Caenorhabditis elegans: one gene and its partners. The protein of the gene in region 3 purifies or fractionates together with the protein of the main gene of each other region. This does not show direct contact. Each region holds a gene or a part of one and is shown on either strand. Other genes may lie near its edges.

Region 1 (5,898 bases), on a different chromosome or scaffold from region 3:
GTTATTTTTATTTAAACATTTTTTCTCTTTTATTAACGCTTTTTTTTCACCAACCAAGACTTGCAACATTTTTCAAGCAAACATTTATCTGGAGAAATTGTCTATTTAATAAATTACTGATTGAAATAAGCGGATTGGTAATAATAGAACTGCAAGAGTACATGAAAAATACAATAAATATTCGGCGCAAATGCGATAATTTAGAGAACAAATGGAACGATGGCCTTGCGATTTTTTGGGTAATCTGGGAACTCCTTGAGGTAGTTGCGGTGCTTTCCTTGGGCCCAGATTGCCATTTGAGCGAATCCAGCGGTGGTGAAGATGATTGCTAAATTTTAAGATTATGAATAAAATCAATTATATTTACAAGTTTTTTATTTACCTGGAAGAGATTGGACCATAATGGAGAAGAAGATCCATGATGCGACCTCATATGTGTAGTTCGGGCACGAAACGTAGTTGAAGAGGAGAGAAAGTGGATTTCCATCAGGCTTTGGAATACGACGTTCGCGGGTTCCAGCTGGACGGAGGTTGCGGAGAAGAATGTGGATCGAGAGATTTCCAAACTCCGAAATCACGAAACCGGCAAGTCCGAAATAAACCTGAAGATCTCCGAAAGCTGGTGGTGTGAAAAGTGGGTGATTGACAAAGTAGGCGACGAAGGCAGCGAATCCCCAGTAATAGGAGCAGTTCTGAAAATTCAGGAAATAGAAATTTGTTTATCGATTAGTGAATTTTATTTTTAATCTTGTCCGTTTCAAAATTCTCTACTAAAACTACCTAAAGTTGTACGAAATATTCTAACTTTGAATTTTAGGCATATTCAACGTTTTTACTAGTTTTTTTTTGTTGCTATATTTCAGATTGAAAATTGCCGTAGAGCGTAAAATAATTTTTTCATCAACGCAACTTTTGCAACTTACTATTAGTGTCCCTTATTACTTTTTACTCAATTGTTTTTATTTTTATTTTTGAAACATGCCTTGACTAAATTGAACTGTGGCATAGTCGAGTTTCCGAATCTATGGATGAATTGAGTTTCGAACAATCTCTTGGCGTAGTGGAAGCTCCATGCAAAGAAGGCGATTTGTACTGCTGGATGCATGGTAGCATTGACAGCGGCTGTAATGTAAGATATTGTGTGAAATAATATTAATCCGGCTCACCTTGTCCATAAATGAAAGTTGGTCGAAGATAGAAAAGCGGATAAACGAACAAAGGTCCAGCATACTCAGCCATGAAGACAGTCTTCCAGGCGATTTGTGGTCCGAGATCTCTTACATATAAAACTGCTTTTTGAGATGAAAGTCCAAGATCGGAGAGTTTTTGGTCATCAGCCAATGGTTTACCCTTTGGTTCGACACGGAGAGCCTGACGTTCTTCGGTGAGTTTCAGCTCTGAAATTATTTAGCTAATAAATCATAAATTTCGATTCACAAACTTTTCTGGGCAATTCGCTTCTTGATAGCTTTGATCGTTTCGGATCCAGAAATTCCCTCGAGGGTGATGATGAGATTGTCCGTACGCTTTGCGTCATAAACCTCCAGAATCCCACTCATTCTGAAAATTGAGGTTTTATATAAACTGAAAAAAAGGAATTTTCACAAAAACTGGCTCTATTCAGAAAGAAACGAATTTTTTGCAGTCCACTATTATAAAAATGGTGTGATTTTCTTTTACGGGTCGCTATCAATTGAACTGATAAAAAAAGAAGAGAAGCATTGTGAAAATGCCAATTGAAACGAACGACCTCGAAATAAAATTTACTAAATGCATTAAAAAATAGAAATTATTATATTTTCAAAGATTTTTGTCTGCCTTAAATAAGGGAAAAGCGATAATATTTAAACGTTTTTTGAAATAGCCTCATTATCAGGTGATTCTTATTCAACTGCTCGAAAAATCGCCCTTCTCCGTCAGAACTTGTTGATAGTTTAACGGCTGGCACAACATTTATGGCAGTTTGGTAACAAAACTGAAAAGTGAAGTATTGATATAATGAGCAGAGACATTGAGATTTGTAAAACATAGAAATTGGAAACTACAACCTTTATTTGAAATTTTGAAGAAATTTTATGTGAAAATATACAGTAGTAGGAGTAGGAACAACGGGATTCTTAAGAATATAACGACAAAGCAAGAAATGAAAAATTGTCTTTAGTAGGAATTGTGTGGAGATTCAGAGACGCGATTCAGGTAGTCACTGGGGAGCAGCGAGAGCAATGACACCGCAGGCAGCACGAGCTCCGGCGTTTCCAGTCTTCTTGGACTCTTCTGCCTTGTCTCCGACTCCCTCGCCTGGAAAGTTTACTAAATTGATTTTTAATTCGAATTGTTCATACCGAGGTCGTCTTGTCCGGCATGAACAACCATAGATCGGCCAACGACAGTGTTTGGACCGTAAAGCGTGACGAGCGTGTCGGTGAGCTTGATTTTTGCCACTCCATCGGCTCCAGCTTCCACATTTCCTAGATCGCCTACGTGACGGATCTCGGACTGAAAAAATATTATAATTCAAGCGATATAAAAAATTTCCATACTTTTGGTCCACCATGAGTCTTTCCAAATGGATTGAAGTGTGGACCGGCAGAAATGCATCCGTTGGTGGAATCACCATATTGGTGAACGTGGAATCCATGAAGACCGGGAGTAAGTCCCTTGATTTCTCCTTCAATAACTGCCTGGTCATTTTCGGACTTCTGAAAAAGAATACAAATGATTTAAGCGGAAAACTCGGCTAACCTGTGTGATCCAGATAGTACCGGTAACAGTTTCTCCACGAAGAACAGCGACAGCACGGTTCGACATTTTTTGAGCGGCTTCGACCTGTAAATTCAACGAATTTTCTAGGGAACACTCTAAGGAATATCACGGCAAAAAGTTTAGAATTAGAAAAAAACAGGCAGATCACAGTCGATAGATGCAAAATTAAAAAAGAAATGGTAAACACGAGAGAGAGAGAGAGAAGGTGGAGCGAGATGAAATAGACAACATTGTGTGTGTACCCGCCTCTCGGTCGCAGAATTTTGTAGCTATGTCTCTAGTTTTTGTGGGTTTCTGATGAAAATGATGATAATTAAGGTAAAGGCAACAACACAACGCCATAGATCAAATAGGCCCAAGTTGCGAATGACGAATGTTTCGGATAAGCACTGACCTGCGGAAAAATCGCGTTGGAGACCTGAGTGAGAAGATTCATAAACATCACCGATCTAAAATACTGAATCTACAACTTTGAATAATAAAGAAACAATGGAAAGTATGATTATGACACTGATTAAAAACCACAAAACAAAAACACAGAAAAAATAAGCGGCTCACAAATTCAACGTCTCCACTCTTGAAAACTCGAAATTGAACGATTATTTCAAGAAAAAGGATTTTTAATAACTAAATTTTAATTAATTTTGAGAATCGGAAGAAAACCGGGAGTGGAGAATCGTTTCTATAGAAACTACGAAAGCGTAAAGAAAATTTAGAGAAAAAAGAAAAAAACAACAGCAAAATAGTGTGCACGCATCAAACTTGACGAGCAATGCGCGTCAAATATGCTGTTCGAGAAAAACCGCGGTTATTTAAATGTGAAATTTTTGTGTTGCGAGAATAAATAGCGTCGGGTTTCTTTCATGTTGGAAATTTTCGTTTCCAGAAACAAGATATGAAGATCGTTATGCAATGAAAGTTTTTCCGTAGAAACTTTCATGTGAATCAAAACGCCGAAGGCAACAAAAAAAAACTACCTTACAGGTGCAAACACGTTGTGTTTTTTTTCTTTCTCTTCTTAAATTTGACGGGGTTGCGGAATTGAACTCAAATTGTAAACGGAAAATGTGGTTCTTTCAAAAATTAGATTTCCAAAAATTTAACAATTCCAAAATTTCAAAATTTCGAAATTCAAAAAACTTTGACCCCTTGACCCCGCCCACAACAATGAGAGGAGGGCCTCTCATTCATTATTCATCTTTGATCCTGTACTGGTGGGTGAGTTTAATTCTGCTCCAAAATTGTGGTAATTGGTTATTGCAAGAGACTTCGTAATGGAAGTCATCTTGAGAATCCCAAGATTGTCCCCCAGACGTAAGTAAGTATAAGATGTAGTTGTCTGGAGTCAAGTGGTTTACTCTCGATTAATCCAGACTGGCTAACCTGGTGCCTAACGGTTTCGAGTGATTGGGGTTGGGTGATTGGTATTCTTGTTGATACTATATTCTAAAGATATGATACGGTCGGGGTAGGTAGGAGACTGAGTAGGTAGGTAGGGTAGGGTAGGTAACGGGGTAGGTAGGTAACTGAGGGCGCACGAGTAGGGGGCTAGAGGGGTAGATATCGTTTCATATCTTAAGAGTATAGTATCAGCAAGAATATCAGTCTCTCAATACTTGATTGCTCGAAACTGGTACGACACTTGGTCAGTCCGGTTTGGTGTTCTATCATTGCCTGTCGGTAATGGTGCTAAATTAAGATTAAGATTTTGAAAAATAACAATTTTTATTTTTTTGAATTTTATTTCGAAAAATGTTCTATAAAATAAACTCACAGTTGGTTAAAATTTAAATTTTGAATAAATAATAAGCAGCATGAATCGCATAGTTATTCTACTGTACTAAAGCTGGCAATTTTTGATATCAAAACTGATAATTCTGACAATTCCTATTGACGTAGAATATCCTTTTGGTCTTTATGATGTAGACAATGGAGGTGAGAAAAGAAGGGGGCTAAAAACCCAAGAGAATGATTCAGGGGTCAACTGGCAATCGATATTCAAGGTGCTCTTTGAATAGGTCCTGGATTATTGTTGTCTCATTCTGCTTTTATTCTCTTGTGATGAATGGTGACTCTTCTTTTCCTCTTCTTCGTCTCCCACCGAAAAACCTAAAAATTGTTCTCTGCCATTTGAGATCTATTGAACAGCGAGTTTTCAATTGGAAAGTGCCTATAAATGTTTATCTTTTCAGAATATATTTTTCAATAGTCTCTGAGAAGACTAAGGATATTATCAGAGAGCTATGCATCTTCAAAAATATTGTTTTCTTCTTTGGCATGTCCGATCAGTTGGTATATGGTTTTTCTAAATGTAATCACAAGCATGGCTGTGCTCATACCAGGCGGAGAAATGTTTTGTAAAAAATCAAGAGAATGGAGTACATCAAGATATCACGGCTACTGCACCAAAGCACTGCGACTTTTTTCGAACGAGGGCCGAGAAAAATGCGAAAAAACGGTGTTTGCACACAATACACCGCATTTTACGACATTGTGCACTTCTTACTGTACCTAGCGAGAAAATGAGTCTTAACTGCTTTGAATAAAACATAATTATAATTTATTGAGAAAATTTGTGAAAAATAAGAGAAAATTAAAAAAAAAGAATCGATTGATAATTATATTGATAAAATATGGACTTTTTGGTGGATTTTGGGAAATTCGTCGTCTTTGTCCAGTTTCTATCGCCAGATTTCTGCAAAAAATCGTTTATATAACTGCGACTATGGTATTTTGAACCGGAGGGCACAAATTCAACAGAATGCTTCCCCGTATATATTATTTTACCTGAGCTAAAAATATTAAATCAGGAATTGTACAGGCTGGTTGAACTATCGTATTATTCGGAACGTTTCTTGAGAACAAATCGTGCCTTCAAAGGACGAGAAGGAGTGGATTCCATATTTTGTCCTGCTCACCAATATCATTGACAAGAAGTATCCGAGATTTCGCAAGAAGTTCGATTCGATGTTTCAACACTCGTGCAATATCGTGGCATTGGCAGACCGTCACTGGAGTTTTTTCTGAATTGACATGAAGTTTCACTTTGAAGACAGAAGCCATGGAAAACTTGGTGGCCAACTGCAATCCGGGCTTCATGCCTGGCAAAATGTCAAATCCCAGATATCCAAGAAA
Region 2 (6,277 bases), on a different chromosome or scaffold from region 3:
ATTTTCTCAAGCGTTTCAACTGAAATACATGTTATTTTCTTTCAAACAAAATAGTTTTCTATATTTTGACACTAATTTTTATTGTAAGATTTTAGAAAAACATTGGCCAGTAGGTCGTTTTGTAGAGTTTCCGAAAATAATTGCCGTCCACCTCAGAAGTTGATTTTTTACGCCTAAATACCATTTTTAACATTTCAGTGGCTAAAGTCTTCTTCCAAGGAACCTGCGATGAACGCCAATAATCCATCTGAATTAATGCGAGTAGCTGAAGATCGTGCAAGAATTGAAAAAAAAGAAGAGGAAATGGAACATAAAGACTGGGATGAGCTTGAAGCAAGACGTAGGAAAATATTTGAAGATGAAAAAGAAAAAAATAGAGAAGATGATGCTTCAATACGAGAATCAATGGTTTCTGCAAACACAGAGTTTAGTGAAGCAACGAAAGAAGAAATGAATGAGATTAATAAGTGAGTTGGTGAATTTTTTATTTGAAATTAAACTGAAATACAGTTTTTTTTGAGAATTACAATACTTTTCAATAAAATTCAGTCAGCAAGCTGTAGAACTGGGACCGAAAAATTCGAACCAAAAAAAATCAAACAAAATTTTTTTTGGATTCGAAAATTGGAACTTTTTACAAAAACTGAAAACCACAGTTTGCTAAAGAACATTTGTAAAATATGAAAAGTGTTTAAAATATAGAAAATTAGTTTTTTGGTGTTTTGTCACAAAAACCAAAAAAAAAAACAAATTTTCGTCGAAATATTACAAAAATAAACAAACCCCAAAAAAGTACTAACCCTGCTGTAGACTTTTAAAGTTTTACGCATATTCAATAGTATTCCAGTATTCTTCAAGACGCAGAACAACGTGTAGCTGAAACCAAGAAGCAAGAAGAACATGATGCCGCTGAACTCAGAACTCTCATGAAATCTAGTAAGTTTAAAACGAAAATTTGAATATTTCTTCAACACAGTCTTTTACAAACCTTTTTACTGCCAGCTTAATTTCTTAATTTTGCTACAATTTCAGCTCGTCAGAAGTCTCTTGACGCTATTCAATGGAATGATAAGATCACGAAAGAAATTGGTGGATTTTGGGATCGAAGAAACGAAAAATTATCTGTAGATGAAGATGAAGATGAAGACGAGAAGTCCTTAGACGAAGAGACTTTCAAAAAGATTCTTCACGAAGCCGAAAATTCAGAAGATCTGCCTCCTCAAACTTCGGAATCAAACAAGGCGTCAACACCGAGCAACTCGAGCTCACCGAAGAAAAAGGGATTATTTGAAAAGTTGTTCAGAAAAGATTCAAAACAATAGTAAATATTATTTATCTTTTTTCTATGTATGTTAAATTACGAGCTTCTTGTAAATAAATGTATTTATTGTTCACCTATATACATCGTCTCAATCTTAAAATTAAAAACTTTAGTTATTCGAAAATCCTCCATCGACAGGCAAAGTGGATCCAGTAGTCATTGAAGCATTGTCTGAAAGAAGGAAAAGGACAGCATTCACAACTTCGTCAACCTCAGCAAAACGTTTGATCGGCATTCTGTCGAGCATCTTCTTCTTCTTATCAGGATCACTCCAGTTCTAAAAAGTCTAATTATGCTCTCTTTTCAATTTGAAAATTATTACATCTCTTCCCATATCAGTCATCACAACAGTTGGATTGACACTATTAACTCGAATATTCTGGGATCCCAATTCATTTGCAAGACATCTTGTGACCATATCAAGAGCAGCTTTTGATGCACCTGAACTTTCAGATGTACATTATTTCAGTAAAGTTTTAAACTAACAATAAACAGTGTGATTATCCAATGGACGAATGGCTGCTTGTGATGAAATATTAACAATTGATCCTTTGATTTGTCTATCCACAAAGTTTCTAGCAACTAATTGTGCAATGAGAATAGGTCCCCTTACGTTGACTGCAAATGTTCTATCAATTGATTGTTGAGTAATTTGTCCAATTGCATGATTTGTTGCAATTCCAGCATTATTTACAAGACCATGAATTGGGAAATGTGGTACGATAAGTTTGAAAAGGACCTCTTCATTGGCACTCACATCTCCAACAATTGGAATTATTGTATATCTCTGAAATATTAATTTAATCAGATTGGTGTAATATTTTATATTTTCACTTACCAAAGAAGTAGTCTCTTTGACAAGACTCAACAAATTTGCTTCATTTCTCGCGAATGCAATAACCTGCGCTCCAGCTTTGGCCAACGAAAGGCAGATTTCTTTTCCAATTCCTGCAAATGTGATAAATTGTGATGTATGATTCACAATCACCCCATCGGAAGTCTTCATGAACGATTTTTATTCTATTTTTAGCTTTGTTCGCGTAATATATTTTTTACCGACTAGGAAGGATGTACTCTTGTTTTCAATGCCAGAAATTTCCTCAAACATAATCGTAAAATAATTATAATTTTCAAACGGAATGATAAAATGTTGATGATACAACAAATTTTTGATTAAAGATTATAGTGTTATCATATTATCGTATATCAACGTTTTCCTCTCCATTTGAACTAGATCATAATTACACCGGAAGTAATCAGAGAGACCATCGGTCTTTTATCACATTGGCCTAAATTTGAAATGTTAAATTAATATGGATTAAACATTTTGAAAACTTAAAAAGTACAAATCTTCATGAGATTTCAGAAAACTGATTCAGTGGCTCCAAATGTTTAATGGTTTTTTTTAATTGAGCAGATAATTTTTAACATTTCCTTACTTCAAACTACAAATAAACTTATACTAGACCAGGGAAAACCTGGTCAACTTCAATTCAAACCTTGCAAACATATCTAAACTCAAAACATAGAACAATCGTCGGAAAAGAGATTTGACGTTTTCCGTGAAGTTTTCAACTATAGGTCAAAAGTTGGGCAATAAGTTGGCACCAACTCCGAGTGGTACAAAAACTTATCTCAACATAACTTTCTGTCTAAATATCAAGTCTATTTCCTGTAGTGAGCTATCTCAATTTCATATTTGTTAAATGGAACCCAAAACAAGTGTATTTGGTTTGTATTGAAACAACCCATCTTAACTTTTTCAACATCTCAAGACTTACCTTGACTTGCTCCTGTGACAAGTATACGTTTGTCAGTGAAATCGTAATTGGCGGGCATTGTTTCGTCAGATGATATGAATATCAGAAAATGTGTAGTATCTACCCCATTCTACCCAACACGATCAACTTTTATATTGTGACTATTTTTGTTATCAATGCCATTCCTCTAACAATCTGCGTCCAATTGTGTATTGATGATCGTCATAATGGTTTCTATTTCGAGATCGACAGGGAAAACCCTTTCATTTTGCAAAGTATGTAACAATGAAACTATTGAGCACCGAAACAATGTACACAATTTTCTTTAAAACGCTCGTTTCAAAAAATAGTATATCATAAGCAGCAAAATCGAGTACTTTGTTTTTGCTGCTTATGATATATATTAGAGGATGAGTTCAAGAGCAAAAATGATCCCAAAAGTTCAAAGACTTGCAAAATATCATACTTTCCTGGTAGTTTCAGGTACCATCAAACGTATATGTCCCACTTAACATTAAGCTCAACCTTCCGTAAAAAGTTTGTTTTGGCTAGCTTCGTTAGTGTCTCCGTCTTAATTTTTTTTACATCAACAACCAATTTCAATATCACAAGATCTGCGTCCAAGAACAGCTGAAACTTCGTGACGAGTAACCATAGCAACATGGCATTTCACCTGTTCAATCTAGCCACTCAACTCGCCACATTTCTTATTCTCAATCTCAGCTTCAATAAAATCCCAACTATTGAAGTGATATAAAGATCGTGTAACCATGTCGACGGACATGGACCCAGTCCCGGGTCTTCCTTTACTTACCACTCTTTTTTGTAATTCAACAACTGTGAAGAAAAAAGTGAAGATAAGCTGTGATTTTCCTGATGAACTCTACACAAAGAAAGCATTTTACGGAGGACCAATTGGAGCTGGACTCTCCGCAATTGAAGTTTCAATCATCGCAGTTTTCTTTCTGCTTTCTTTGAAAATGAAGCGTGATATCACGAAGGTCTTTCTGACTATTGTCTACATTCCACTTGGACTGTCATCTCTGTTCAAGATTGCACTGGCTATCTACAGTATCATGCTTGGAGCTTATGGATGGTGGTACATGGTTTTTCTGATGTTCTTCAACTGGTTTTACACTACAGCAGTCCTCACTACATCCATTGGATCTGTGATTTTTCTCTCGGCGTTGATTGTAATTGCAAGGAAAAGACAAAACTTTAATCCTTGTGATTCATGGTAAGAAAATGGTTAGAATGACACAGCAAAAATCTTGAATAACATTTTTTGTTAAATGAATAGTTGATGCCTCCGATATTTTCCAGGACATCTTACTTTGCTGTGCTCTTCTTTGCTGCTATACTCTCTGGTTCATATCATTTCATCGCATCCCAATGGAACCCACTTCCTGCTTCTGCACTGTTTTTTACCTACCTTTTGTGCACAGTGGGAATCATTGCCGAGCTTCTAGTGGTAATCTATTTTTGATCTCTAAAGGTGGACATCAGTGCCCAGTTATACATTAGTGAGGTATTAAACAAAGTGTGAAAAAATCCAAAGAATAGTAGAAAATTTAACCGAAGCCAACAAGTGGTGTGATCCTATTTAAAGATCGTTTTCAGTGTAATTGTTTTGCACTTTACTTCTACACCCCTACACATATCTATTGACAGTAATTCAACAATTCCACCTTCAAATGAAATTTAAATATAGAAAATCAAAAATGTTTTCCAGTGCTTGTGTGTTGGATTAATGTGCAAACCAAAACCAGCAGCCGGAACAAACATGGCAGTTCTGACTGGTGATCCAGTTGTCGATGATGCACGTAGCCGTCTTGGTTTTGGAGCAGCTGCTGTAATTGTAATGAATATTCCTCAATGGTTTGAGTTTTGTAAGTTTTTGCAACTGAATTGAATTTTAATTGGTTTTATCGTATTCTTTTCAGATGTGAAAATCGCCGAACTTTTCGCGCCATACCTTTGGAACTCGGACGATGAAAAAACTGTATACTACACTGCACTGGCAATTCAACTTCTGACATTTGACACTGTTCGTTTGTTCATGAGCCTGTTCATGCTAGTTGCCTTCTTCCTAACCGTTTCATCAAGATTTGCCATTGATCAATGGATTCGTCGTCAACATCACCCAACTGGAAATCCAACCGCCACACAGAACAAGGTCTTCATCGCAACCCAAAATCAACCATTGCTAATGGATACCGGAGAGAAAAAGAGTCCACCACCACCAACACCTCCAAATCCTCCAGTTAATCATGCTATTGCTCCAGTCGCTCAACATCCTCAACCCATGCCAATTCCCCACCAAGTACCTTCGCCAGCTCATGGTGCAGCTCATGGTCATCCACAAGCTCCACCAATGTATCCTGGAATCGGATTCGCTCCTGGTATGCTTCAACTTCCACAAAACATGCAAACAACAATTGTCTATACTCCATCAATGGCATATGATAACGGACATCCTGCAGCTCAAGTGAACTAAGAGCTTAAGAGTTTTAAGTTAATTTGAATTTTTCATTTTCACTAAATAAACTCCCTGTTAACAAATTTCAAAAGTTAAAATGAAAAACAACTCCGGTAAATGCATAATTACGACAGTAAAGTTATGATTTAGAACTCATTATAACTGTTTATTATGTGTGTTTAGCTTTTTTTTTAATTAGTAAAAACTAACCCTGTTTAATGCTCTCCCTAAGTATCACTTAACATACGCCAAAAGTACTCAATTTCCTAGAAAGGTCAAAATGCGGAAAAAGAAAAGTACACATTTCTCAGTGTACACTCACTTTTGCTACCTATTGCAACATGCTGGCACCGCTTAGCTAGCGGTTTTCCTCACCTCCGTGTTGATAAACAAAGAGTGCAGAGACAGTGGTCAGTACCTGGGGGGCAGTAACTAGGTACTTCCCCCCGTACTTCCTTAACCTACAAGATGGAAAAATGAAAGAGATGAGTGAAATTGAAATCTGAGAGAGTAAATGAAAGTAAGAGAGAGTGATCGAGCAAACAATGGACGCGCCAGTCGCGGCCGCGGCCATGGCTCTCTCAAGTACAGTGAGGATTACTGTCCATTCGAAACGAGAGAGGTGCTTTCCTTTTCTAGGCGGGCGGAGATAGTCAGTGACGTAACACGCGGTGTCCGCGCGGAGTTCGGGAGGTAGATGGTCAGGGCGTGACCTCA
Region 3 (5,912 bases):
TTTCTACAGGGTCGTATTCCGTCTCCTCGAATGACAAGTCCACATCAACCTGAAGATAATTCAATAGATGACATGGATCCTCCTGTTCAAGAAGAAATCGAAGAAAAAATTGAAAATGATACTTTCGGTCAAAACGAAGTTACTGTGAATCAGGTAAGCGTTATTTCGAATATTTTTTCCAATCAAAACCGTTTCAGCAGCCAATAAATAATCCAATGCCAGTTTATCCAGTTCCCATTTCACATGAACCTGCAAATCTTCATTCACCGATTCGAAATCGATCAATATCTCCGGAAAAGATGGATACAACTGGAAATTCAGGAGCAGGAATGTCTGTCAGAGATTTTCTAAAAAACACAATGACAGTACAGAAAGCTGATGAAAAGGTATAGATTTTAATCTGAGTTCGGTATGAAAAATTAAATTTTCAGATTTTGGAAGAAGAATTAGAACGGGAGCGTGATGAAGCGGCACAAACAGTGAGATACAACAAATTTCGAGTTAGAAATCGCCCAAAGGTGAGTGTTTCTTTCGAAAAATATGCGAATTAACTTGTCCATTCATAATTTTTAATGCTAATACCTGAAGTTAATTTTAACATTTATTGAGATTCTCGAAATTTCTTAAAGTTTGAGTAGTGTCGGTTGTATTTTCCCTAAATCACAAAAAACAGTCTCAATATACTGAATATAACTGTTTAAAATAAAAGATTTAAAAATTTTATGCTTTAAAACAAGTTTCAATTTTGAAAAAAAATATAAACAGAGATGTTAAATTATCGTTTCTTCAGCCAATTCTAGAGCTTAAGCCATTTTCTGTTTTATTACAGACAAAAAAATCCAAAACTAAAGTTTTCAATTACTTTATTTCAGAAATACAAACGAAGTGCTGTAACATTTACATCATCTCTTGAAGCAGCTACATCATCATCTTCATCTACAATACCTCATCAAGATCAGGGTCCAACATTTTCAACACATTCAACAATTGGAAATTCATCGGATACTAGTCAATTAATGGAACAATTGGATCAATCACAAAATGATTCAATCGATATTGAGGAAAACGTTTATCAACCAATTGTAGTTCCATGTGTTCAAGTATCCTGGAATTCAACTATTTCTAATAATTATAAATTATTTCAGAGAGCTCCAGAACTTGACCTTACTCTCATGCAACCAGTGTTTTCCACGGCTTCTTCATACGTTCTCGTTAGTTTTTTCTCCAGAAAAAATCGAAAACGAGGAAACAATTACAAAAAAATTCAACTTTTTATCAAAAAAAGAAGAAAAATGATCAAAATTTAAAGCTATTTTTTGAAATATCATAAAACTAAATTTTTCGATTAGAGTGAAAAATTGAAATACCGACACTCTTGGTGGCAATTGAGTATCTTTTAAATTTTGATTTTTTCCAGAATTCTTCGGCACTGGACCCGACAACTCACCAGGCTCAAAGCAGTTTATCAGCTCTTACAGACTCCAAGTAAACACTAAAGTTCTGTTCAAAATCCTAACTTCTCTGATTTTTCAGATTCCAAACTGATCCGAATAATTTATGGAAAGCAGTTGATGGAGTTTCTCAATTACTTGTTGATGTACGTTTGATCTTTCAAATTTATTCAAAATTAGTTTTTAAAATTGTATTCTTCAGGCTCCATCTCTTCTGGAATCAGATCTTCGCTCATTCACCGATCACTCACATCATAGCAGTTTCCTTCCATTTGTTGCAAATGTAATATTATTTCAGGTCAAAAATTTCCAAATTTTTATATTTTCAGCATGAACCATTACATCGATCAGCATTTCTACCTCCACAATATCATGTTAGTTTCTATTTTCTTTTCTATCAATTATTTCTTTACTTTTTTCAGAAAGACCGACGCATTCACCAACAAATGGACTCTCATCTGAGCGATACTCTGCGAAATTTGTAAAAATAATTTGTATATATCTCAAATTCCCCTAATAACTGCACCGAAAATGAATTACATGTATTTGTTTTGAATATCAATGAATGAATTTTATCAATAAAAATTTTATCAATTGATATGAATCGTTGAATTAGTTTTTAGTTCTCAGTTTTTTTACTATTTCTTTTTTATTTTTTTCATTCTTTTTTTGATATAACATGATTTTTAGAGGCCATACTTCAATGAATGGACAGGTTTCCCTGCTGCTTCGAAGAGCTATTTCGGTGAAAACTTTTCATTTGAAAAGGTTTGAAAATTTACATTTCGAAATAATTAAGAAACAAAAATAGTTACAAAACAATGGGAGTCAACTTCTACTGCTACATTTGACGATTAATTCTTGTGATTCAGCTCATTTATTGCTGTGCCTTTGCAAAACGCTCGCTGACGTTCTTCCAGTTGGCGATCTGAAAGATTTTAAATTAAAAATATTAATTTTGATGGAAAGTGACAACTACCTTCCAAATAGCATTGACATAATCTGGTCGAACATTCTTGTACTGCAAGTAGTAAGCGTGCTCCCAGACGTCAATTCCGAACAGTGGAACAAGTCCAGTTGTTGCCTCAAGTGGATCCTGATTGGCACATGTGGCAACCTTCAAGATCTTTCCCTTTGGACAGTATCCCAACCATCCCCATCCTGATCCTTGAACAGCGACAGTTGATGCCGAAAGCTGTTTTTGAAGATTATCCAGAGATCCGAAGTCGCTCTGAAAATGTTTTAAATTGAACAATGGCCAGTGCTAGAGTTGTTCAATGCGAATTAAATATCAATTTCAAAATACTGTAAAGGCTAAGCCGATTATACAAAATTCTAAAACGTTGAATCATTTTAATCTCAGCCTTGACCGCACAAATCGTGTTCACTACATTTTTAATATCGACTTTTAACTTTAAGTATTATTATTGACTGCCTGATATGACTAATAAACTACCTTAATTGCGGTGAGCAACTCCGCCGATGGTTCTCCTCCGTCCTTTGCCAAATTAGTCCAGAAGATGGAGTGGTTGATATGTCCTCCTCCATTGAACTTGAGAGCTGGCTGAAGAGCGATAGCTTCTTTGACGTTTCCTGCAATCAGTGTTCTTTCCGAAATTCTGAGTAATTAAAAAAATTACCTTTGGAGACCGCCTCGTGAAGCTTTTCCTCAATTTGGTTGAGATTGTTCACATAAGTGGCATGATGCTTTTGATGATGAAGTTGCATAATCTCGTGACTGATTACAGGCTCCAAATCAGCATAGTCGTATGGTAAATCTGGCAGCGAGTGCTTCGAGCGAACAGCAGCGACTCTAAAAATTTCAATATTATAGTTTAGGAATCTATTTGCCTAAACTGATATATCTGAAAAAAAGGTGAAACTACAGGTTAAACCACAATTCGCAAGTAAATATAACAGCAACCATAAATAACAATTGAACTAACCCTGTGATCGGTTGAACAAGCTTTGAGACACAGCGAACGGTGTTTTGAAGCATTTTCGGCTGCAAATAATTAAAATATTCAATAGTCAAATATAAATTTTTACAATTCGCAGAAACATATCAAGCTGAAAATACGATTTTTGGATGAAAAATAAAAAAGTAAACAAAAAGCGCGAACACTGAAATTCGAATGCGCGTAAACAAAGTACGCAAAACAAAAGACAGTGTTTGCGGAACATGATACACCAGATTTACCGAGCAAAGTGGTTTTTGAATAATATTCTTTTAGCTCGTTTTCAGTCTAAATTGTTGCTTTTTGAGCCGAATTGCGTGTTTCTAGTAATTTTTAAATTATCGTAATATTTATGGTAGTCTAATATACATTTTTGATGTTTTAGTATACCCTATAATTGTCATTTTCTCTTCGGAAAGCAATCCTTCAATTCTCACTTAATTTTCGAGTAGATTTTTTAATTGCAACGTTTTTATTCAGGTTACTTACTTACTTACTTACTTTGATACTTTGATGTCCGTTGGGTTCAAGTTGCGAGGCAACTGCGGACAAACTCTTTCCATTTTTCACGGTCGGTTCGTGCGATGGACAGCCATGGAGCCTTCGGAGTGAGCATTCCTAGTCTTCTTCTCCCAACAACGACTTGTCCCGACATGGCGGAATTGTGGTGGAATTTTGCGTATTCTTCGTCGATGTCCTTAGCCCATCTCTTCTTCTGTCCTCCAACGGCACGTTTCCAATTTTTGTTGTGGCTCGGGTCCCATTCCGTGCAGATTTTTGTCCATCGGTTTGGATCTCTCCGTAGAATGTGTCCTGCAAATCTTGATTGTTTTGCAAGGAGGTAACGTTCCAAGTTGAAGTTCCAGCCTCGAATTTCTGCAGCGTCGATGAGACCGGTGACAGTTCTTTTGAGTCTCAACGTGGATCCAGCATTACAAGTCCAAGTTTCACTAGCATACAGGAGAGCTGGTAGCACATTTTGCTTGAAGAGGATGATTCTTTCCTTGTTTGGCATGATTCTCAAGACTTCTTTGATTCCAACCAGAGCACCCCAACCTGCTCTTATTCTCCTCGAGATCTCTTCGTCAATTGAGCCAGAAATGTCGATCCAGCGACCCAGATAGCGGCAACCAGGCACGGGAATGATGGGGGATCCGTTGAAAAGGACGTCTTGGCTCCGGCAAAACTTGTTCTTCAGAAGAACAGTCTTTGACTGATTGATCTTGAGTCCGTAATTAGAACTTATTCGGTCCAAAATTTCCAGTCGTTCTTGAACTTCTCCCGGTGTGGAACATGTCAGGACTACGTCATCCGCAAATTCGAGTCTTCTTATGTGTCTGCCTTCCACACTGATGCCAACTCCAGCGAGCTCGTTGTCGCAATCCGTCAGAATAGCTTGGAGAGCAGCACTGATGTTTTATATTTATGGTAGTCTAATATACATTTTTGATGTTTTAGTATACCCTATAATTGTCATTTTCTCTTCGGAAAGCAATCCTTCAATTCTCACTTAATTTTCGAGTAGATTTTTTATATGCAACGTTTTTATTCAGGTTACTTACTTACTTACTTACTTTGATACTTTGATGTCCGTTGGGTTCAACGTTTTTATTCAGGTTTGTCTCCACCTCAACTTTCTCCTTCTCCAACTCCCTACCTTACAAAATGCCTGTTGACCGTAGCCTCTACATAATTCCAAACGAAACACCAGTTTGTCAGCTAGATGCGGCTGATGCTTTCAAGACGTTATCTGAGAAGGAGAAAAAGTATTCTCATTACGTGGCCAAGGCATCTTTTGACGGTGCTCTTGCAGTTTTCTTGCAAGTTTCACCGGAATCTGCGCCGATTTTCTACGTTTTGTACAGACTTTTCAAATCGGAGTCTGTCGAGCAGTTGAAGGGTATGAAAAAAGCATTTACAGTACTGCGTCCTTTATTTAATCCATTTGTTTGCAGAAAAGGCACTTTCCGTAGGATTCACCGATGCTGAATGGCAAGCTTTTCTTGTTTATGCTGCAGCTTTTTATTCCAATTCTGGAAATTATAAGGGATTCGGAGATACAAAAATCGTCCCAGGTGTCGAGCAGGTAATTCATTTGAAAATTCGGACAAGTGTGGAGACATAATTTTAGACCAAAATCCGTGCTTTACTCGAGAAGTCTGCCGTTGGAACTGATGAGAAAGTTATGAAGACATGGGAGTCCGTGGAGAAGGTCATTGGATCGTTGGAGTCTAACGAGCTTCAGTTGGGATTTGGTGATAAGGTTCGTATATCACGGGCATACAGCAAAATGATTAAGTATTTTTTGAGGGAGTCACTTGCTATCATTCTTCAAACGTCACCAAAGCTGACGCCGAGAAAATTGATAGATTCTTCAAGCAACGGAATGTTGAGTCATGGAATTCTCGATTATTCAAAGAGGTTGGATCCGATGGAAAGACCACATACACCATCAAATTAGCATCTTCTGAAGAGGGAATCGTGTCAGAAGCTGTTGAATTTG
Region 4 (6,641 bases), on a different chromosome or scaffold from region 3:
CAAGTACGATCTGAAATTTGAATTTTTCTTTGGTTTAAATAATTTTGATTTGATTGAAAACTTGGCTATTGAAAACATATTTATCTTATTCAATTTGTAGACTATGCATACCTATACGGGGTGTAGGTGTAGTTCAAGTAGCGGTTGAAAGCAGAATCAGTGTATCGACGGTAAGAGGATGGATAGTCATAGTCATACCAATATCCCTTGTAGCGAGTCCAATAAGATCCATAGTTGTTCCAATAATATGGATTTGGAAGATAATCACTGTAGGAATATCTTCTGCTTGGATAGTAGGTACTGCGATAAAGTGGAGAGAAGTAATAGTATTTGTCATACCAGTAGTCATCGTACTGAAATTTTAATTCTCAAAAAATAAAAGAAAGCCATCTCATACCAAATCCCAGTCACGACGCCAGCGGTATGGAGTCGATTGGTAGACAGTATGCCATTGTGGACGGTACTTATCCGAGTAACGGAAGTGAGCGGTCAAGTCTGGGACTGATGAAGTGCGGGTGACCTGGAAAAATGATGCATTTGTTTTTGTTACCTTCACGCGTGATCTCTTAATTGGCACCTGGTGCCAACGGGGCTAAAGTGATGATTGTGTAACATTATTGAGAGAGATAAACCAGAAGTTGAAAGGTTTTTGATCAGTTCATAGTTAATCAGGATTTAAGTGAACTTACGTAAAGACGAGAGCTCGGTTCAACCGATCGAGAACGGACAAGTGCGCTGCGAGAGCGCACCAAGGCGTAGTCGGTCATACTGTAATTGTAATTGATAATTTTAGTATTGTACTAGTACTAGATTGAAATAATAAAAAATTACAAGTGAGAGCTTAAATTTGATCAAAATACATAAATAGGAGTTTCATTGCATTTCCCGAAATAAATAAAAGGTACCATCAACATTGCGCTTATAAGACGATCTTTGTATTAATTTTAGTTTTTTAACCTTCCACACCTTACAAAATAGAAGTAGCACAAACTAAAAAATAAATCACACTTTTTGATATCCAATGTGTGAACTACAAAGTTCAAGTTTTAACAAAAATTAAAAGAAACTAAACCTGGAAACCATTTGGCAGGCGCCTGAGTCGGTATTTCTGAATGGCAGATGTGCCCCTTGTGTGCTCTCTTGTCCTCTTCTATTTTCTATCTTTCATGCCTCTTCTTGATTCCTAATCTTTTGCGAAGGCGGAGGAGGACGATGTGCCAGTTGTTTGGTCCCCGCGGGAAGAAAACAAAAAATAAAAATGCTTGGATTCCAACACCTGGTCGCTCTTTTTCTCTCCCACACTCTCATCTGGTGGGGATTCAGAAGAAAACAACACACAAAAAATGAAGAATAGATGAACAATAAACAAAATGATAGGAATTACGTTCTTTATCTGTTTATTTTCAGCGAGCATGATGGAGTGCCAGATGATTTACTGAAAGTGTATACAGCATCTGGATGTATGAAAGTTGTGGATTCTGTGCTCACTGAAAGAACACCTACAGCCACAATTGATTTTACACCAAACTTTATTGGTAAGCCTTTAATACAACAAAATGTGATATACATATGAGCACTTGCGTACTGTCAAATCAAAAATGAAAACGTTTCTATTTACCCGTTAAATGTTCAGAAAATTATTTACAATATCTAAAAGTGCAAAGAGCAATACCGTTATTCCACACAAAAATAGAGAAAAATACACCAAGGATATTTGTCGTCAATCTTTACTCAACTCTTTTGGGTTTTCTAAATTTGCTCTATAAAACATTAACCATTTAAAATGTAAGATAGCAATAATTTATTTAATGGTTCCATGGGAACCAATGTTAAGATCTAGTTCATTTTGAATAAAATAAACTCGCTAAGAGAAATGGTAAGAAAAATGATAAAGAGTTGAACGTGTAAGACGAGTTTCCACATGCTTTGAGAGGAGTCCCGCATAACTGAAAATATGCGAACTTTGGTCTATAATGAGAAGATTATGCTTACCGTCATCATATCCGAGTAGTTTGTAACTGTCATATTTGAAAAAGCCACTGCCAATTGCGACACTTCACAAGGTTCCGGGCATCGGGAAAGCGGAATTCTGTATGGATCCGATGTAGTCTCATTTCGATAGTAGAGCTGAATAAATTAAAATGAACCATCAGCATTAATTTGAAAGAAAATATAAATAATTTTTTGTTAACCAAGTTTCCTAATAAAACTTATTTCAATTGAACAACTAACCTCAGAATAAAATTTTCCGTTGTCTGAATAAACATGCATGATAAGTGCAGCCGCATAAGGAACCATCATCTCATTTGAAGCACGGAATGCATTGAGAAGTGCAAGAAGAACACCATCATGCTGAAATTAATATAATAGATTTTCTCAGTTTCCATTAGATTTTACCGAAGAATAAAGAAGCATTCTCTGATCATTTCTGCTCTCAGAAACTGCAATTGCATTTTGAATCCAATTGTAAAGAACGGAGCCTCCTTCAAGTTTTCCTTTCTCTTCTGAATTAAATAGATTCATCATTCGAACGGTCCTCATTTCAGTTATAATGTCCATTGAAGTACGATTGTCATATTGAGGCCAGGTTTGTGTAACCCAATAAGGCTGTTTTGCAGTCATGTTATGAATCAACTCTCTTTGTATATCGAATAATCCATTAATATCCATATATGAACAGTGTTTGAATCCTGTAGTTTGAGAAAGTTCACTGAAGAAGTCTGCATACTTAACACTATAATAAGCGTTTGATTCTTGATCGCCTTGAGCCACTAAAACTTCATGACGAGCACATTTTATCGCAGTTGGTTTGCACACCTGAATCAGTTTATCTTAGTAAATGTAGTCTATAATGAATAGTCACTCTCCGGAAATAGAAATTGGGCTTCAAAATGTTTTATCAGTTGTTCTTACGTACTTTCTAATCTCTTTTGTCTTTCTGACGCATTTGTGATAAAACCTCATAAGAACAACTTTAGTTTAAATCTAAAAATCAACGGTTACCAAATCAGGTTCTCCTGGAGTAGATGCATGTACTGGAAGAGGTTGCCAGTCTATATCTGAGCTCCATTGATAACCACCAGAAGCTGGGTATAGCCCGTAAAGAAATGCTTGTGCAGATACCAAAGCACGATCAGAATCGGAAGAGCGCAGGTAGACCTACAAATTTCAAGAGTTTAATTTACAGATATGGTATTGAGTTTCTTACTTCTTTCACTGAAAAATTAGACGGAATAAATGAAGAGTCCACGTATTGGTGTCGGAAGAACTCTCCGAGCTCGTGAAGTTGTTGCATTCCAATCTAAAATAAATAGGTTTTTAAGGCAAAGTAGCGCCAGTGAAGGTTTTGTCAACGTGTATTTGAAATCAATCAGAAAAACTAATTAAAACACTATAAGATATTTGAGATTTTCATAATTTATAGTCAGTTCTAAAAAACTATATCCAAAATTTATAACCAAAAATTTTGACACTTTTCCTGTGATATTTGGTTATTTGAGCGTCACTGGGAGATGTTAAACATTTTTTCTGCTCCGTTTTTTAGGTCACTCTTTATAGCTGAAACAAATTAAATGTAATTATAATTTTATTGTGATATGATAGAAGATCGCGTAAGAACTCACAAATATTCAACAAGTACATTTCTTTAAAAGTTTAATAAAACAAACCGAAGTCAACTGCCCCCATCCCCTTGACCAAGCTTTTTCTGTGTACTGGTCATTTGGATACGGTAAGTGTAGAGGAGCACGGTCTCCATGTCGCCACAGTGCTTGTACAAACTCAAGTTTCCTAGATTCTATATTATTGAACACGGCAAGAAATATGACAAGTCCTTGTATCAACATCATCACGTCGTCTAGAAATCTCTGCAAAAAATTGAAAAAGTGAATACCGGACAGAAAAGTCGCAAAAAAGGGGACGAGTTCTCATGCAGGTCTATCAGGTTACATACAAGAATCGCACGCTATCTGATGACGGAAATTCTGATTCTTTTGACGTCGTCGAAATTGAGACGAGTATGTTCCAAAATAGAGCAAAAGTGCGGTGTAGTTGGATTTAAATAGAAAGTGAAAGTGGGGAGGAGTCGAAAGACTGTTAATTGTATGAAGTTTTGTTATCAGTTAACATTTTACTCCCACGGAAAAAAATGATTTTTTATCTAAAACGAATACTGGGTTTGAAGTTCCCGAATTTGGAAACAAATACGGAGAATTTTGTCGATCGGTCTTGAAATTTTAGTGCAGCAAAAAACAGTAGTGCCCGCCAATGTTCTATTCGCTGGTAGCTTATCGATGATGTTTGTGGTATTTTCTAGCATTTTTTACAAAGTTATGTATTTTCGAATATGCTACCTCACCTAGCACCTCGCGAGTTTATTTATGACTACTACTCTTTGAATCCATGTAACTGAATACATTTTTATTCAACCCATTATAATCAAAAAATAATCTACATACATCTATTGCTTAATTTTAATTGTCATGTTCTTAAGTCGTCAGGAAACTTACATTAGGGACACAATTTTAACTTGCAGAATGCAATTATGATCGAATTGTTCCGAATATTGCTTTTCAGCAAAAAAATTGTTTGAAATATATATATTGATAAAGAAATGACAATAAATCGAAAGTTAGGAAAGATCATAAGTACATTTATTTCAAAAAACGAACAAATACATCCAAAAAATGAAGCTCACAAAATTGATACGGTCGAAAAAACGCAAAAATGTTATCTCTCCTTGCATTTTAATCTTCTTAGACATACATCAGAGCCATGAAGAAAATGTTCAGTATAGTTGCAAAAATAGTTGATTCCACGTGCAAACTAGGCGCATCCAGGCGAGAAATATCCACAAAGTCATTTAAAATTCCAAATTTCACAAACTCATCCGATTAGTACCCCCGCGTTTTCATGACCTCACGTGTTGTTTCAGGAACAAAGAAGCTTGTCGTTTCTGTTGTGAATACCAATACATTGAAGTTAGAACGAGGGTTTTTGGTTTACGGAAAGTCTGAAGCGCCACGGATTACGCAGAAGTTTGTCATACAAATTCCATCATCTGATGAAGCTATTAGAAAGGTTTGTTGAATTTATATAATATTGAATGTTAAAGATTTTTAGTTTGGATCGACAGTAATTTCCAAACATTTCAAACTATTATTTTAACTAAAATAACAAGAATTTTTTAAAGTCAAAATCGCTCACTAAATTTAATTTTTTTGGGGCATGAAACTGTGATTTTCATGATACTTCTTTATTTGGCTAGCATGCAACAGACAACTTTCAGAATAAGGTAAAAAATCCGTTCAAACTAAACACATCTAACATTAAAATAAATAACATTTTTTCAAAATTTGTGTACAGTAAGAATGTTTTTGTTTACTGTTATTCATTGTCATGCTAGCAAATAATTAAAATTTGAAATGAATCAGAGAAACAACAGATAACAAAATTCAAATTTAGACTATAAGGAGGTTTTTTTTCAATTTGAAAACAAACCGATGGACTGAACAACTCAAATGTATGTGTGTTCTCTGTGTTGGTTTCCGAGAACTTTAAGCATTTCCCTGACAGTCCTAATAAGTCAATGAAAAATATTCAACTTCTTAGAGTGTGAAAAATTTGTCGAAGAAGTTTATGTATAAAATAACGAAGTACAACTATTTTCCTGGTAGAATAGTCTAAAGCTCTTACAACAATCATTAATATTATAGAAACTGTTCATCTCAATTGATTTCAATTTTACATAGTTTGAAAAAAAAACAAAGTGAGGTCCTTTAGAATATGGCGTTTTCTAGGGTTATAAACCTATTTGGATATTGTATAATTTAAGCTTATATGAGAAATCCTTATTTAAATGATTTTACAGAAAAAAAACCAATCTGGGGTCATAACCTTTTTTTGACGAAAACCCTTCTTTCAGAGAATCCCGATAAGAAACCCATATGGTTTACCAAAGACATTCCGAATCACCACATCAAATTCTGATATTGTAAAAATTACGGATAGTCTGTTGTCAGTTCCACCTATGGGAAAACTTCCATGTGAAATGTATTTTGTGAAGAATACACATCTTCAAAAGAATATAGAGGTAATTAACTAATCATTTAAATATTTACATTCTAGTATTTCAGACATTGTTGTATATATCAGATGCGGAGACTTATGTACAAGAAGAAGCATATTCAATCACACTTGCATTCGAAGCTTCCTGATTTTCAAATTGTCTCATTGCAAATTTTTATTTTTTGTGATATTCCGGTTGAAATCTTGAAAAATGAATTCTTTATTGAAAGACTTTTGGCTCGAAAAAAGTGACGACTCAACCACTTGAAGGCTCGACTCAAACCCGCTGATGCTCGATTTTTGAAAGTTGCTCATGATAGGAATACAAGTAAAATAGTGTGAAAAATTGAAAAAATAAAGAAAGAAATGATAAATCAGCAAGATTAAGTGTCTCGCTTTTACTTCTTTCCATAGCTGTTTTGGGCATGTCCAGTGCCACCAGAGTATCCACCGGTTCCAGCAGAATAACTGGCTCCTGGAGCATTTGATGGGTTGTGGGATGGAGCAGAAGCGTAGTTCTCCTGGAAAGTTTTGAAAAGTGTTATTTAGATTCTAATGATTATCCTACCTTTGGA

The links.
Region 1: the proteins of sod-2 (region 3) and sod-1 fractionate together in Caenorhabditis elegans (co-fractionation; one large-scale study listed by BioGRID). This does not show direct contact.
Region 2: the proteins of sod-2 (region 3) and dhs-21 fractionate together in Caenorhabditis elegans (co-fractionation; one large-scale study listed by BioGRID). This does not show direct contact.
Region 4: the proteins of sod-2 (region 3) and pho-8 fractionate together in Caenorhabditis elegans (co-fractionation; one large-scale study listed by BioGRID). This does not show direct contact.

Annotation. Positions count from the first base shown.
Region 1 is NC_003280.10:6,970,676-6,976,573, forward strand, and holds sod-1 (Superoxide dismutase [Cu-Zn]), read right to left. Parts: upstream 3,213-5,898; 5' UTR 3,206-3,212; coding exon 3,158-3,205; intron 2,827-3,157; coding exon 2,743-2,826; intron 2,700-2,742; coding exon 2,541-2,699; intron 2,497-2,540; coding exon 2,343-2,496; intron 2,299-2,342; coding exon 2,201-2,298; 3' UTR 2,031-2,200; downstream 1-2,030. Other genes in the region: putative very-long-chain enoyl-CoA reductase art-1, read right to left, coding at 201-328, 383-692, 983-1,122, 1,167-1,397, 1,442-1,559. UniProt on the Caenorhabditis elegans protein: Protects cells against oxidative stress by converting superoxide radicals to hydrogen peroxide. Required for normal brood size. May be involved in regulating mpk-1 phosphorylation downstream of phosphatase ptp-2 during oocyte maturation.
Region 2 is NC_003283.11:12,730,402-12,736,678, forward strand, and holds dhs-21 (L-xylulose reductase), read right to left. Parts: upstream 3,245-6,277; 5' UTR 3,161-3,244; coding exon 3,103-3,160; intron 2,270-3,102; coding exon 2,160-2,269; intron 2,109-2,159; coding exon 1,808-2,108; intron 1,763-1,807; coding exon 1,644-1,762; intron 1,599-1,643; coding exon 1,431-1,598; 3' UTR 1,366-1,430; downstream 1-1,365. Other genes in the region: zfyv-19 (FYVE-type domain-containing protein), read left to right, coding at 199-467, 848-936, 1,033-1,322; xbx-9 (XK-related protein), read left to right, coding at 3,852-4,318, 4,405-4,552, 4,814-4,970, 5,025-5,578. UniProt on the Caenorhabditis elegans protein: Catalyzes the NADPH-dependent reduction of L-xylulose, D-xylulose, L-(+) erythrulose, D-erythrose, D-threose, L-ribulose, 1,4-dibromo-2,3-butanedione and 2,3-heptanedione.
Region 3 is NC_003279.8:8,432,094-8,438,005, reverse strand, and holds sod-2 (Superoxide dismutase [Mn] 1, mitochondrial), read right to left. Parts: upstream 3,457-5,912; 5' UTR 3,451-3,456; coding exon 3,398-3,450; intron 3,265-3,397; coding exon 3,092-3,264; intron 3,045-3,091; coding exon 2,908-3,044; intron 2,683-2,907; coding exon 2,431-2,682; intron 2,380-2,430; coding exon 2,329-2,379; 3' UTR 2,220-2,328; downstream 1-2,219. Other genes in the region: F10D11.2 (uncharacterized protein), read left to right, coding at 10-153, 198-386, 432-518, 873-1,100, 1,146-1,211, 1,418-1,485, 1,534-1,597, 1,654-1,734 and 2 more; dpt-1 (Dipeptidyl peptidase 3), read left to right, coding at 2,155-2,219, 5,026-5,309, 5,365-5,495, 5,541-5,672, 5,720-5,912. UniProt on the Caenorhabditis elegans protein: Destroys superoxide anion radicals which are normally produced within the cells and which are toxic to biological systems.
Region 4 is NC_003283.11:11,830,852-11,837,492, reverse strand, and holds pho-8 (intestinal acid PHOsphatase), read right to left. Parts: upstream 3,875-6,641; 5' UTR 3,849-3,874; coding exon 3,669-3,848; intron 3,302-3,668; coding exon 3,209-3,301; intron 3,160-3,208; coding exon 3,004-3,159; intron 2,818-3,003; coding exon 2,398-2,817; intron 2,353-2,397; coding exon 2,233-2,352; intron 2,128-2,232; coding exon 1,993-2,127; intron 1,947-1,992; coding exon 1,842-1,946; 3' UTR 1,785-1,841; downstream 1-1,784. Other genes in the region: R13H4.2 (uncharacterized protein), read right to left, coding at 1-10, 112-353, 398-520, 690-768, 1,073-1,083; nphp-4 (uncharacterized protein), read left to right, coding at 1,408-1,535, 4,934-5,079, 5,924-6,091, 6,135-6,215; col-158 (Nematode cuticle collagen N-terminal domain-containing protein), read right to left, coding at 6,465-6,587, 6,635-6,641.